Linked DNA regions of Caenorhabditis elegans. The protein of the gene in region 1 interacts with the protein of each later gene in a pairwise test. Each region holds a gene or a part of one and is shown on either strand. Other genes may lie near its edges.

Region 1 (7,261 bases):
TTTTCAGAAGATAAATTTTGTTGAATAGTGAGTGAAAAATATTTTTCCACATTTTACCAGTTTCAAGTTTTCGGATATTTTCATGTTTCGCCAAGTTACAGACCGTTTTTCAAAAAAAATCCAATTTCGCTTATAAAAATCTTCATATTCAACGTATCGACTTGAAATTTTGAGAAATGATCACTTTTTTGATGTCTCTACAATGTCCTAAAAAATCTTTCAAAAAACACTGTCCATCTCCAAAATCGTCCTTCGCTCCGAAAAATGAAATCGGACTTTTGCTTTTCGAGAAATGTGCGAAAAAATCAAATTGCGATTTTTGGGTCGAAAAAAATATTTTTAGAAAGCTTAGAACACGCTATTTTCATGTTTATTTTGAGTGATTTCTTCTCTTAAACGACCTAAAAGTTAAACAAAAATAACATAATTTTTATTCTCACGTGAAATTTTTTAAATTTGCATTAAAACAATTGAAACACTGAGCAAATTACCAAATAATTACACGTGAGAATAAAAATTATGTTATTTTTGTTTAGTTTTTAGGTCGTTTAAGAGAAGAAATCACTCAAAATAAACATGAAATTCGTAAATAGCGTGGTCTCAGCTTTCTAAAAATATTTTTTTCGACCCAAAAATCGCAATTTGATTTTTTCGCACATTTCTCGAAAAGCAAAAGTCCGATTTCATTTTTCGGAGCGAAGGACGATTTTGGAGATGGACAGTGTTTTTTGAAAGATTTTTTAGGACATTGTAGAGACATCAAAAAAGTGATCATTTCTCAAAATTTCAAGTCGATACGTTGAATATGAAGATTTTTATAAGGTAAAATGTGGAAAATTATTTTTCACTCACTATTCAAGAAAATTTATCTTCTGAAATTCAATAAAAGTTGAGTTATAAAGGGTACAACAAAAGACTTCTTAAAATTTTTTGTGAATTTTGATAAAATGGCTTTGACTCCGTGTAACTCTACAAAAAGTTGGTTTTTTTTTGAGATACGCCAGTTTGAAAATACTCAGTTTAGAGAGTTTTGGAGGTTATTTCATTTTTAGATCGACCCACAGCCACTAAGCCACTTTGATTTTTTCGCACATTTCTCGAAAAGCAAAAGTCCGATTTCATTTTTCGGAGCGAAGGACGATTTTGGAGATGGACAGTGTTTTTTGAAAGATTTTTTAGGACATTGTAGAGACATCAAAAAAGTGATCATTTCTCAAAATTTCAAGTCGATACGTTGAATATGAAGATTTTTATAAGCGAAATTGGATTTTTTTTGAAAAACGGTCTGTAACTTGGCGAAACATGAAAATATCCGAAAACTTGAAACTGGTAAAATGTGGAAAAATATTTTTCACTCACTATTCAACAAAATTTATCTTCTGAAAATTAATGAAAGTTGAGTTATAAAGGGTACAACAAAAGACTTCTTAAAATTTTTTTGAAAATTGGTAAAATGGCTTTGACTCCGTGTAACTCTACAAAAAGTTGGTGTATTGAAATAAAAACTATTGAATTAGAAAGAAAAAATATTTCTGATCATTTTGTTAGTTGGACGTTTGTTATCCAGATGTGTATTTTTTGAGATACGCCAGTTTGAAAATACTCAGTTTAGAGAGTTTTGGAGGTTATTTCATTTTTAGATCGAAAGCCACTATCAACTCCAGACTTTTTATTTCAAATTTTTAATTGTTTTTTTGTTGCTATTGTTGCTATTAATGTTGATGGATAATGAATGTTGCCCAGCCTTTGCGTGTCCTATCAAAATTAATATAAATTAAAACATGACATCTACTATTAATTGTTGCCCGAAATGTTGTGTACAGATTGAAAGATTGTAAATATATATACCCTTTGAATGAATGAACAAATTGAGTAGATGTATCTTTGATGTATTCTTGGAATACGGTCCTTGTACGTGCCTCTTGACTGATGAAGAAAACGAGTAGACAATGAGCAAAGGGTAGGCAATGAGAAAGAGTAGGCAATGAGAACAGGAAGGCAATGAGCACAGGTAGTCAATGATTTTGGAGTCAATGAGTATTTGCCCCGAAAACCTGAAATGCTCGGAAAATGTCCTTTCGGCCGAAAACAGGAAAATCCGAAAAAAAGGAAATGTAAAAGGCAACGAATTTTAATATTTATTTAATAAAATTGAAAGTATTCCAAACTTCCAAACGTTTTTCAACTACTTGATATTCTACTACAGTATCTGCTTGGCCTGTTTTCGGTCGAAAGGACAGTTTCCGAGCATTTCAGGTTTTCGGAATGATGGCCGAAAGGTTATTTGGCTGATTGTAGAAAATATGGGTAACAAAATTGTTTTATTAAACATAGATGCTAATATTTTCAGTCAATCTATTAACACATATTTAGTTTTTCCTTTAGTGTTTTGTCAAGTCACTCAAATTGATATCCATTGTGTGATTGTAGGCTCTGGAACGGTAGTTCTTCTGTAAAATACTGAAAACAAGCAAGAATTACCCATCAATCACAAGGAAATCCTTAACATAAACAGTCACATCATCTCCAGTTCGTTTTTCTGTACAATTGTGATAGATAGTGAAGTAAATTTCATAATCATTCTGAAACGACACAATTAAAATTGGTTTTAAAGAACATGTAACAGTTCTGAGTATTTTGAACACATAGACAAAACATGTGGGTACTTTGAAATTAATTAAAATTCCATTAATTACGTTCCAAATCATCTCAACCGTTACTCCTCCTATAAGTCACAGCAAAATTTTAGAATCACAACAATACCTACATCAAATAGTCCATCCCCATTGTCTTCTGCGTCAACTTTATAAAAGAAACCAGATTTGTCTTTAATAAATTGTGCTACCTCTCCTATCATATCATTTGGTGTTCTGACATATTTTCAATAGATTTTCATAAAAATTTATATTCAAACTAACGCTTTATCATGTTCCCATACTTGCAGCTTCTCGACAAATGAATCTTTCATGGTGGCATTACATGTGATTGTTCCAGAGAAATTGAATTTTGTAGAACTGGCCGAATAGACAACGTATGGGAAGAAAATACAAAAAAGAATGCTTAGGAATACACTTGAGAATCCCGTCATTTTGTATATGATGTAGAAACAAAACTTTAGAAGAATCTTTTATACGGGGAAAAGATGACTGAGATTGGAAAATAAAATGATGCGTTCACATGATGATTTCCACAACATTTCAGAAAATCACATTTCAAGAACATTGACAACAAAACAAAACAAAGGCAGAGATTGCATGATTGGATGGGATTCGCAAAAATTGTAGCTTTCTAACTTGTTAGGCGTAAACATGGATCGACCCGCGACCCTTTTCAGAGTGTCAGCAGATTGCGAGGAACTTCACTTTGAGTCACAGGTTCATCAGGGACTCGCAATTGAAACTATATTATCCAAGTGTTCATCTGTTTTTTTAACGATTTGTTTTGGGCCGACCAATAGGCACAGAGTTTAGAAAGAACGTACAAGAAATATAAACATAATATTCAAAGTTTTTGATAATTTTGAAATCTTGCTCGTAGATACTTTTAATTGTGATTACTTATTGAACACTTACACTTACGAACACTACACATGTCAGAAATTCCAGTTTATAATGTTAAAAAATGTATTAACAATGTCGTAATAGGATGAAAACAACTGTAAAACGGTTTAAACTTGTTACATTAGGGGGAGTGTGCAATAAAATAAAGACTTTCTGAATGCTTGAATATGTTTATTATATATTTCATCAAGAGAGACATTTATTTTCTTCCCCAACCAAGTGGAGTTGGTGGACGATTGATATATAGTATGCACAGATAGTATGCTGTGCAACTGCAGATGGAATGAAATTGAACAAATTTGGCTCTGGAGCTTGTGGAATTGGATTGAAGATTGATGGTTCAATGTGATCAACTGGTTGAAAAGCCATTGACCATGGATAGAATTGCTGATTGAATAATATAATATTATTTGAGTTTGATCATTTAAAACTTACCGCAGAAACTGAGCAAATTGTGAAGACAAGGAAGATATAGGCATTGAATATTTGCATTTTCAAAGACTTTGCTAATGATACTACACAAAACGCGTTCTTTTATATTCCCAGTTTGATGAGGTCCCTCCGAAAAAACCACTGCAAAATTTGATTTCTTCTCAAAAAAATCAAAGGGGTGTAGTTAAAATGTTTAGAGTTTTCTCGATTGTCGGAGGGGTCAGAATATTTTATGAAACCTGTTATGTTTTTGAACACTACAATCGGAGGGAGCTCGTAAATGTTTTCATATAAATTTACCATTTTTCGGTGAAGTCCAAAAAGCGCATCTCATAATGCAACTGTTCACCGCCTGCATCTTCCTTGCTTTCGCCATTTTCTCGGTTTCCGCGGTAGGCTGATTTCAAACTTTCAAGCAAAAGAAACGTATAATACTTTACAGCAATTCATTCCAACTAATCAAATTCTACCATCACTGTTCAACCCAGCTAGAAGAGCTCCTCAGCCAAGTTCATTCAATTTCATCCCATCTGCAAATGCAAGACATACCATCTATCGTCCACCGACTCCACTTGGATGGGGAAGAAAATGAATGTTTCTCTTGTTGGAGTTGGAACTAATAATAAAGATTATTGAGCATTTAGAAAGTGTTTGAATTATTCCAGTTTGCGAGAATCCTTGAAATAACCCAGCGAAACGAACAGCAATCATACTAAAGTACTCCAATAACCCAGTATTTGCTCAAAAAGTTGATAGTTACGATAGTTTTTAAGTAATCACAGAAGCCTCTCTTCGGACTAACCACAACAAAATATTACTCTTACAACAAGATGCTCACTCTTCTGAAACTACAGTAGAAAAGAGCACTTAGTTTTTCCAGGTTTTTTGGCGACCGAGTCTAGCAGAATTTGCAGATTACATTCCTGATCAAAAAGAGCAAGTAAAAACTTTTATTTCAAAAACCCCCAAGTATTCTTTCTACTGTGCTGGTGGAGCTGCAACTGGATCCTGGGCTGGTGGTGCAGTGGCGGCTGGGTCTTGTGCTGGAGCTCCAGATTGTCCCTTCTTGAACTCATAAGCTTCAATTCCGAGTTGTCCAACAGCGGCGAGCACGTGGATGAGCACGAAAAGTGAGAAGAATGCATGCCCAGAAACACACAAGAAGACGAAGATACCAGCAAGAGCTGGGACAAGAACCAATGCGGCAGACTTTCCACGAACTTCATTGTCAGACGAGGTAAGAACCTTGTTGATCTCCTCGCGACCATCAATGTTGAGAGCAATGTTGTGCGATGAGACGGCAACTGCTCCACCGAGGAAGATGAAGTAGAATAGCTTGGCAAGGAAATTGCAATCGCCGAGGGAACCGAACAGAACCATCAGGAGCTGCAAATATTTCATGATGTTCTATACATTCTGGAAAACGGGCAAAAGACCAAGAGCCAGGACAAGTCTTTAGAGGCCAGCCCTTAAAAACCAGGACCAGTCCTCCGAGGACCACGAACGGCACAGAACGAACCTCAAATGAAGCACACACGATGACGGCACCACGAGCGTAGAGCACGTACTTATTGAACTCGTACGGTGGGATTTGATCCATTGCAGAGAAGTAGTCGAGTGAGTAGAGAATCGGTGATTCGAGCAGAGACTGATTTGAATTACACATTTTCCGATCTTTTATACGGACGGATCTAGGGCAGATTGACCGTGGAGATAAAGAAAGGTCGAGGTTGAAGCGGAGAAAAAACAACCTTTATAAAAAAGTTTCTGGATGTTTTTTGGAATTATTTTTGAAATAAAGTAAAACATCACGGTCATCGAAAAAGAAATTAAAGAATTTCTAGTTCATCCGTTTCATGTAATTAAACAAGCTTTTTTAGTCACTTGAGGGAAGCCTTGTTCAATTATGAATATACCGATAACCGCGTGTTTTTAGCCAGCTGAATGCTTTCTAGTTGGCCTGGAGAATATATATAGGCCAAATCCAATAACGTTTGCGGAAAAAAAACATTTGAGAAAACCAAAACCTAATTTACCCTAATTTATAAAACCATAATTTATTTTGAAGTTAGTTTGCTGCAGGTGCGATAGCTTTACCATCCCTCACTCTGACTGCTTGACTTTTTGCACACATTAGAAAAAAAGGGGGTTAGGGTAGCTTTACCAAGGCGGCAAAGACAAAAATTGACATACTTGGTAAGCACTGAGTGTCTCTGCGATGCTTATATCCAGCGAGATAGATAGAAACATTATACAAAATCAATAGAATAGTCTTGAACAATGTAGAAAACCTAATTTAAAAATGAATGAGACTGATTTCATAGCCACAATGACTGAAAATAGAAAGACTCTTCCATTTTCAAGCACTTGCAAGTTGCAGGTAAGCTTATGGTCTGTTGTCACGTGACACCTAAGTTTTAATTGCCAAAAATAAATTCACAAAGATTCATTTACTAGTTTAATGACAGTTTCGTAGACAGATAAAACCGATCCAGTTCACAAAGAACCTATTTTCAGAATTTAGATAATTTTCACTTTTTCGAATTTTTGAAAATTCCCCGAAATTTTTTTAAATTTTGCTTTTTTTATAATTCTTGCAGTAATAGTTATGTTTTGATCATTTTCATATTATAGTGAATTTTCAACTCAAACGAATCACTTTGAAACAAGTTATTGTCAAAAAACTAAAATTGGATAGAATTATGGCCGGCACTGTAGAAGGCCTAGGGACTCTTGAAAATTTGTCAACCCCGCAGAAAACAATACTCTAAAAAAGTCCAAACATTCCATGTTCTCGCGCAGGAAAGTTGTTAATATAAATTATTCTTCACTAAAACCGATCATTTGTTTTGAGGGTGCTTTAGAGACGTTTTAAATATTTTTTAATTTACTGTCAAACAAGTACCCAATTTTTGCCACTAGGACTATCTATCCCTATGAATTGATCAAATTTTTTAAACGGGTAAATATAAATTTATTGAAAGTTATTTTTGATTTTTATTTCCAATATACAATTGTTATTACAACATTGGCAACTTGAAACAGAATAAGACACATTAGATCAGTTTTATCCAGAATTTTGAGCCAGAGCAACTGATTTTCATTAATGCGAGACATTTCTTGCAGAGTGTCACGAACAAGAAACGCAGTCTAAAATATATCAATTAATGTTCAAATCATGGTGGTTTACCTTATGTAATGACGACTTCAGAAGAGAAACAGGCGCAATGATGTTCTCGGGAACATCCATACTGGATACAGAACTGGTT
Region 2 (6,452 bases), on another chromosome or scaffold:
TGAGAGAAATAGAGAAGATTGTCAGATGATGTGATTGACATGGGGCAGCAGTGGAAGGGTGTCTTGTGAAAACCCGCAAAACTTGAGAACAGATTGACAATAAGGTTTGATAAATGACCAGGAACGTCTAGTACGAATCGGTTTTTTTTGGAATGAGCAATTTACAGTTGAAATGATTTTTGATGCATTTTCTTTCCGAAATATTAAAGATCCTCCATTTCAAAATTAGGAATTGGAAAGAAAAAGTGTTGCATAAGTGTTAAAATTTTGCAGAATGATCTTCACAAACCATATGTTAAACATGGAACGGGAAAATGTTTGGGGGCTCTCGGAGCAAGTAGTCATCATCCACTTGACATTGTTCTCTTGGATTGACACACTTCACACTCAATGATAGGTGAGTGTGGGAAGAGTAGAATAGAGATGGTTTTAGGGTGGAAGAAATGGTTTTTCGGAATTTTTACTCAAAAAAATTATGCTATCAATCTGGCAGCGTATTTTCCCAGTAAGTAGCGCAAACAATTTTTGCAATTAATAATTTAATAGTACTGTATTTTTTGCTCGTTTATTATATGAGACTCCTAAAACAATTGGCGTTTTCTAATACAATACGAGAATACGTTGCTGAGATAAAATGTAAGATCAAAATTAGATCAAGAAAACTGAAATGATATATTTATACTACCGTATATTTTCTATTAGTATTGCACATATAAGTTGTTATAACTACTTAGATTTCAAAGATTATATTTCGGCTCATTTAGGAGATAAAAAAAACAAAGTTCATTCTTTAAAAAATTCAGAAAATAGGCGGTAGGCGGTTAGGTTCGCCTGAACACGTACCTGCCTACTTGGCAAGCCCCAGAGAAAACGATAAAAATACGTGAGTTTGTGATAAAACATAATATCACTTTGGAATGTTTCACTGGCGGATTCGGAAGGAAAAGACTAGAGAAGGGAATCGAATCACCAAACAGACACTAATCATGTGTGCACACACGATGACCCCCCTCCCATCTCAGGTGTATGAGTCTCAGGCGTGTGTCTTCTCCTGTTTCGCTTTTGTTAACATTACGTAACAGGAGCACACAATTAGAGCATATGTGCAATTATGTTCACACCTTTTATATCGTATAAAACAATGGTGTCGAGTGAATAGAACACGGGGACAGGTCACCTTGATGTACTTAAATGGACTAGAAAATATTGGTTCGCATTGTTTTCAAACAAGAAATCAGGTATCTTGTCAAAAAAAAGTTCTAAACAAAATAAATAATCTATCCAAAAATATATTTCATAAGCTACAATATTCTAGAGTGATACATTGTACATTACTGAACTTTCTCCAATTACAGCAAAACTTCAATGCTTCTTGCCTGCCTGCCTAGAAGCCTACCTACGACCTATTGTTTGAATTTTGGCGTGAATTATGTTGTTTGTTGTTTGCACTGTTTAGTTTTATGTTGCTTGAACTCATTTAAGTTTCGAACATTGAATTCAAACGTGAAAAATGTTTTTGTGTAGTTATGAAGTAGGCACAAATTAGACGTAGGCCACCTTGAAGGCAGGCGCGAGCTTTTGTGCCTACATCTGATGTTTACTAGATTAATTTTGAAGTGCTTGAGTGACAATTTTAGAAAATATTCATTCATGTGCATATGCATCTTTAAAAATCGTATTAAAACTCGTAAAAAATTTTGCGACCAGAAAATAAAAATTAAAGAATTTTATAAAATGTGTTTTCTTTTTGGTTGCGACCTGCTATACTTCGTCTTGATCTTTGGTTGATCTGTCAAGGGATAAAATATTCAGATGATTGTAGTTGAAGCCTGTGATTATCTGAAACAAAAATCACCCAGTTTCATTCTTGAACAACTTTCAGTATCCTACCTCATAGCTTGATTTTCGAAAAATGAAGGGCTTATCCCACAACACTTTTGCTTCAACTTCTCGAAAATCTGGATTTCTTCTTGATTTATCATTATCAGAAAACCGAATGATCGTCAGTTTTTCAAAATTCGTTGCCACATAAAAATCCTTCTCATATATAAATTCCAAATTTGGACGACGCTGCATAAGTGGATCGAATTCACAGGAAAAATCAAATTTTGTGCTGAAATCCCACGTATCTGCCACATGAATGTACCCCGATCTATCGGCAGAGATGAGACGATGTCCATCGGCAGATATTCTGGAATTTATGAGATTTAGAATACCTTCAATTTAAAGTTTTGAAAATAAAGTACTTTAGTCCATAAATTTGTGATTTGTGAAGAGATTTCTCAGCAATTGCTCCACGTGTGCTCCGAATATCAAATAGTCCAATTGTTCCATCTCGTCGTCCTGCATATAAGTAATGATGTTTTGATGGATACCACTGTACAACATCAATTGGTTCATCATTCCAATATATCGATTGAGGTAGATCCATTCCGACTCTGAAATGATATTTATTTTGAAATATAAAATGTTAATTAATTTTAATTAAATTTTAAATTTTGAAATAATTCATAAAAATTTAAGACAAGAGGTTCGACCAGGGGAAATTGTAAGACCAAAGTTTTAGAAAGTTAGGCAGTCATAACAAAATATAGCTCTTGTTCAATACAAGATCCACTAGCCTTCAGGCACGTAGGCAGGCATTTCGTGGAACTTTTAAAGCTTACCTAAAATCTATAATTTTCATTGATCTCCCTCCATCTGCCACGGCAACTTTTGAATTTGTCATATTATACTCATTCCAATCAAAATAAACATCTCCTTCAAATTGTTTCCCATGAACCACTTTTTCCATGGTACTATCACAAACTCGCATCCAATTTGATGCTGTTGTAACCATGAAAAGGCGAAGATCGATTGGACACCATTTTATTGTTTTCAGAGATTGCTTCGCAAGTTTTCTGAAATCTTGATAAATTTTAGAATTATTGCGGTTGTTACATACAGAGTCATAGGTTTCTTCCACTTTTTACGATCCAAGTATTTATATTTGGCAACTGACACTGAACCACTATGAGATCCAAATAGTAGCCTGAAAAATCAATTTTTTTTAAACAAACTCCTAATTAAACCAACATTTGGTCACCATCATCTATATCAATCGCACTAATATCTTCTTGATGGCCTTTCCCCGTCTGATCACAACCCATAGGAATATGTTTTGTCCATCGAAAATTCAAAAGAGCCCGTGAAACTTGTTGTTCTTCGAAAACTCGGCGTTTTCTGCAAAAAATTTCAAATATAACTCAAATTTTAAAAAAAATTAGTACAGTAAGAAAATCTAGGCCTGTAAATTCATAAAAGTTTAAAGTCGTTGCGGGACCCGTCTGGTTTTCTGACTCTTGCGCCTTGAAAAAATTGCGGTACTGTCATTTATTTTCTTTATTTGCGCATTTTAACATTAAATTTCTCTATTTTTCTCGTTTGTTTTAAATTTTAATTATGCATTTGCACTTTTTTTTCAAAATTATTACGAAATTCACATAAAAACCGCAAAACTCACTTCAAATCACAGCTGAACATGTACTCCTCGTGACGAACAGTCATTTTCCTGTTGAGAAATTATAGAAACATGCGAATAAATATATTACGATTAAATAAAAAGCTCAAACGTTGCTGTTAATTTGAATATCCTCCTTAAAACAGCCAATGGCCTAGAGTCCACCAAACAAGTTCATTCTCGGCCGCACCGGTTTTCCGTTATTTACCGGGCACTGATTCATCTGTTTCCAGACCGGTTGCAAAATTAGTTTGATAAAAATTTCAATTTCCACAAGGAAATATTTAGTTCAGAAATAGTAACAAAAGTAAAAAAGGTGCAGAAGTGTAAACAAACGGGCGAGAACACGTGGTTTTATCGATTTTTGCTTTAAACATCTGCATTCCGTCCTCTAAACTTTATGTGTCATTTATTGGCATTCAATTTGATTTTCTTTCAGATTTTCAGCCATTATGGCTGCAATAATCAATCAACGCGTCGAACAGGGCGAATCAAGTATGGGAGGAGCCAAACCAGGTTGGTGAATTGAAAACGAACCATTTGATTTCCATAACCTGTGTAATTTTCGAATTTATTTTAATTTTCAGCTCTTCTTCACAGAATCACTGGCCACGTGGCTCGTATCAATGACGTCATTTTACTATCAAAAGACGAAGGAGTCTGGACTGCAAGTGATGATAGATCCGTTCGCCTGTACTTAAAAAGAGATAATGATCAATTTTGGCCGTCAATTCATCATTTCATGCCAGTTGCTCCAACAAGTCTTTATTACAGTGAAGAAACTTATAAGTTAGTTTAAAGTTTAAATCGTTTTATTTTTTAAATTTTTAATTTTTTTATTCAGGCTGCTCGTCGGACTTATCAATGGAAATGTCTATGAATTCAGTGTTGCCGATGACTTTAACAGTATGACAGAATCCCGAAAATGGACATGTCACGCTGGACCAATCTCTGGACTCGGCTTTGCACTCTCCTCCGAGCTCATTTTCAGCTGTTCTCGAGATAAATCTATCGTCTGGCATTGTTCAGAAAATTCAAATAAGATGGGAAGTTATCTTTTGGAAAATAGTTGTACAGCAATGGTCATTGATCTTCCATTTGTATTCGTTGGAGATCATGGTGGGCATGTCACTGTTCTTCGTATTGTCGATAATCAACCAAATCTTGTCAGCAAGCTTAGTGCACATACGAGTGAGTTTTTATCGTATTCTTTTTTTTTGAGTAAAATATTAATTCGAAATTTTAAATGCTATCGTGCCTAGGAAAAATATTTGTTAAGTATAACATTCCAGTATTTCCTGAAATTCCCCACAATCAATACAATTAGTAATTGTGGTTTGAATTAGTTCAATGATTTTTCAGATGCAATCACCTCGCTCACATGGGACGGAAATAAGAAAGTTTTGTATTCTGGAAGCAGTGATCATCTCATCATAATGTGGGATATCGGAGGAGGAAGAGGAGAAGCTTATGAGCTTAAGTGAGTGTATATTTCTGGAATTTACGTGATATTTCGAAAGTGTTGATGTTTTTCGAGCGCAAAAGTTGAATTATATTTAGTTGAAATAGATTTTTCCAAATTAAAAAATGTTTTTTTCAGCGGACACAATGGAAAAGTGACAACACTATGCGCAGCTCCAGCAGCCAAACGTCTGTTCTCGGCTGACGAACACGGAAAGCTCATGTGCTGGGACATGAATTGCAAGAGAGTTGAGACTCCTGAATGGAAAACTTCGGATTGCTGTCAGAAATGCAATCAACCGTTCTTCTGGAATCTTCAAGCAATGTGGCAGAGGAAAGTGGTCGGATTGAGACAACATCACTGCAGAACCTGTGGATCAGCAGTCTGTGGATCTTGCTGTGACAACTGGACCACCTATCCACCAATGGGATATGAGACGAAAATTCGCATTTGTAATGACTGCAATGCACGAATGAAAGATAATCCACAGAATTTCAAGTAAGTTGTAAAGCAAATGACTGATGAAACTTATTTTCAATTTTAGCCTTACTCCACTTGCAATTCCACATGAAATCCATACTGGAATCACTGCTATGCATCTCCAGGAAACTCTCGGACTTCTAGTTACCAGTGGACAGAATCGTGTGATTATGATTTGGGATGTTCGAAGTGTTTGCTCTGCCCCTTCTGGATCACAATAAACAATTGCTTCTACTTCTCGAATTTCTCATAATTCTTTGTATTTCATCTAATTTATTTCCTCTCCTTTCTATTTTGTATATTCACTCTCAAAATGCCCATCCTTCCCCAAGACCAATTGTTGTCAAATCAAGACCTTCTAAAACTTACCAATATTTCCCGATACCCCTGACAGGTTGTCCTGAATAGTGATTGTGATTCTTACTTTTCTTCTAATCCCGATAATTTCCTAGTTTTTCGACTGTAAAATTGTATTTTTACAACAAAGTTTGAAAAAAAATCTTTTTTTTTGAAGTTTTTGGACAGAACGACTAGAAATTATTTCAAAAGAATGCATGCCGGGAGAGTAGGTGAGGTTGGTGACACTGGATGAAGGAGAAAGCTCACAGGAAGTACACAAAATAGCTGAGTTTTTGATGTTTATAAGAACGCTACGCGAAATTATGACTACGGGGAAAATTAAAAAATTGAGGAGAAATTATCAACATCCGCAAGCTCCTGCGCTGCTGTTTTGAGGGAAACTTCTTTCGGATAGGCACACGGATTGTGACCTCATAATACCAGTTTTAAGGCCTTCCCAGCCATCCACGGGCCGCAGTTCTCCGTCGTCGACTCGATTTTGAATCTAAAAATTTGAAAATTACATCATAAAATTGAAACATTTTCAAAAAAACCTCTTGTGCAATCATATGAAAAGCTTCATTAACATTGTCTCCTGTTCTCGACGACGTCTCGATAAACTTCATTTTATGGTACTTGGCAAAGTACTCGCCTTCCTCATAGTTTACCTGA

What was found. The genes of interacting proteins can lie anywhere in the genome.
Region 2: the proteins of F17E9.5 (region 1) and wdfy-2 interact in a two-hybrid assay, tested with the Caenorhabditis elegans proteins (one large-scale study listed by BioGRID).

The regions. Positions count from the first base shown.
Region 1 is NC_003282.8:8,344,214-8,351,474, reverse strand, and holds F17E9.5 (DUF7087 domain-containing protein), read right to left. Parts: upstream 5,658-7,261; 5' UTR 5,593-5,657; coding exon 5,512-5,592; intron 5,379-5,511; coding exon 4,971-5,378; 3' UTR 4,929-4,970; downstream 1-4,928. Other genes in the region: F17E9.4 (TransThyretin-Related family domain), read right to left, coding at 2,382-2,433, 2,482-2,582, 2,768-2,870, 2,919-3,088; F17E9.15 (uncharacterized protein), read right to left, coding at 3,747-3,947, 3,996-4,052; F17E9.18 (Neuropeptide-Like Protein), read left to right, coding at 4,328-4,384, 4,435-4,584; lgc-5 (Neurotransmitter-gated ion-channel ligand-binding domain-containing protein), read right to left, coding at 6,990-7,142, 7,183-7,261.
Region 2 is NC_003280.10:9,315,927-9,322,378, forward strand, and holds wdfy-2 (WD repeat and FYVE domain-containing protein 2), read left to right. Parts: upstream 1-3,938; 5' UTR 3,939-3,951; coding exon 3,952-4,015; intron 4,016-4,086; coding exon 4,087-4,288; intron 4,289-4,343; coding exon 4,344-4,690; intron 4,691-4,861; coding exon 4,862-4,979; intron 4,980-5,099; coding exon 5,100-5,459; intron 5,460-5,505; coding exon 5,506-5,662; 3' UTR 5,663-5,952; downstream 5,953-6,452. Other genes in the region: csa-1 (WD_REPEATS_REGION domain-containing protein), read right to left, coding at 1,762-1,839, 1,891-2,191, 2,247-2,438, 2,667-2,900, 2,945-3,031, 3,076-3,222, 3,503-3,546; Ras-related protein rab-39, read right to left, coding at 6,142-6,285, 6,335-6,448. UniProt on the Caenorhabditis elegans protein: Plays a role in coelomocyte endocytosis.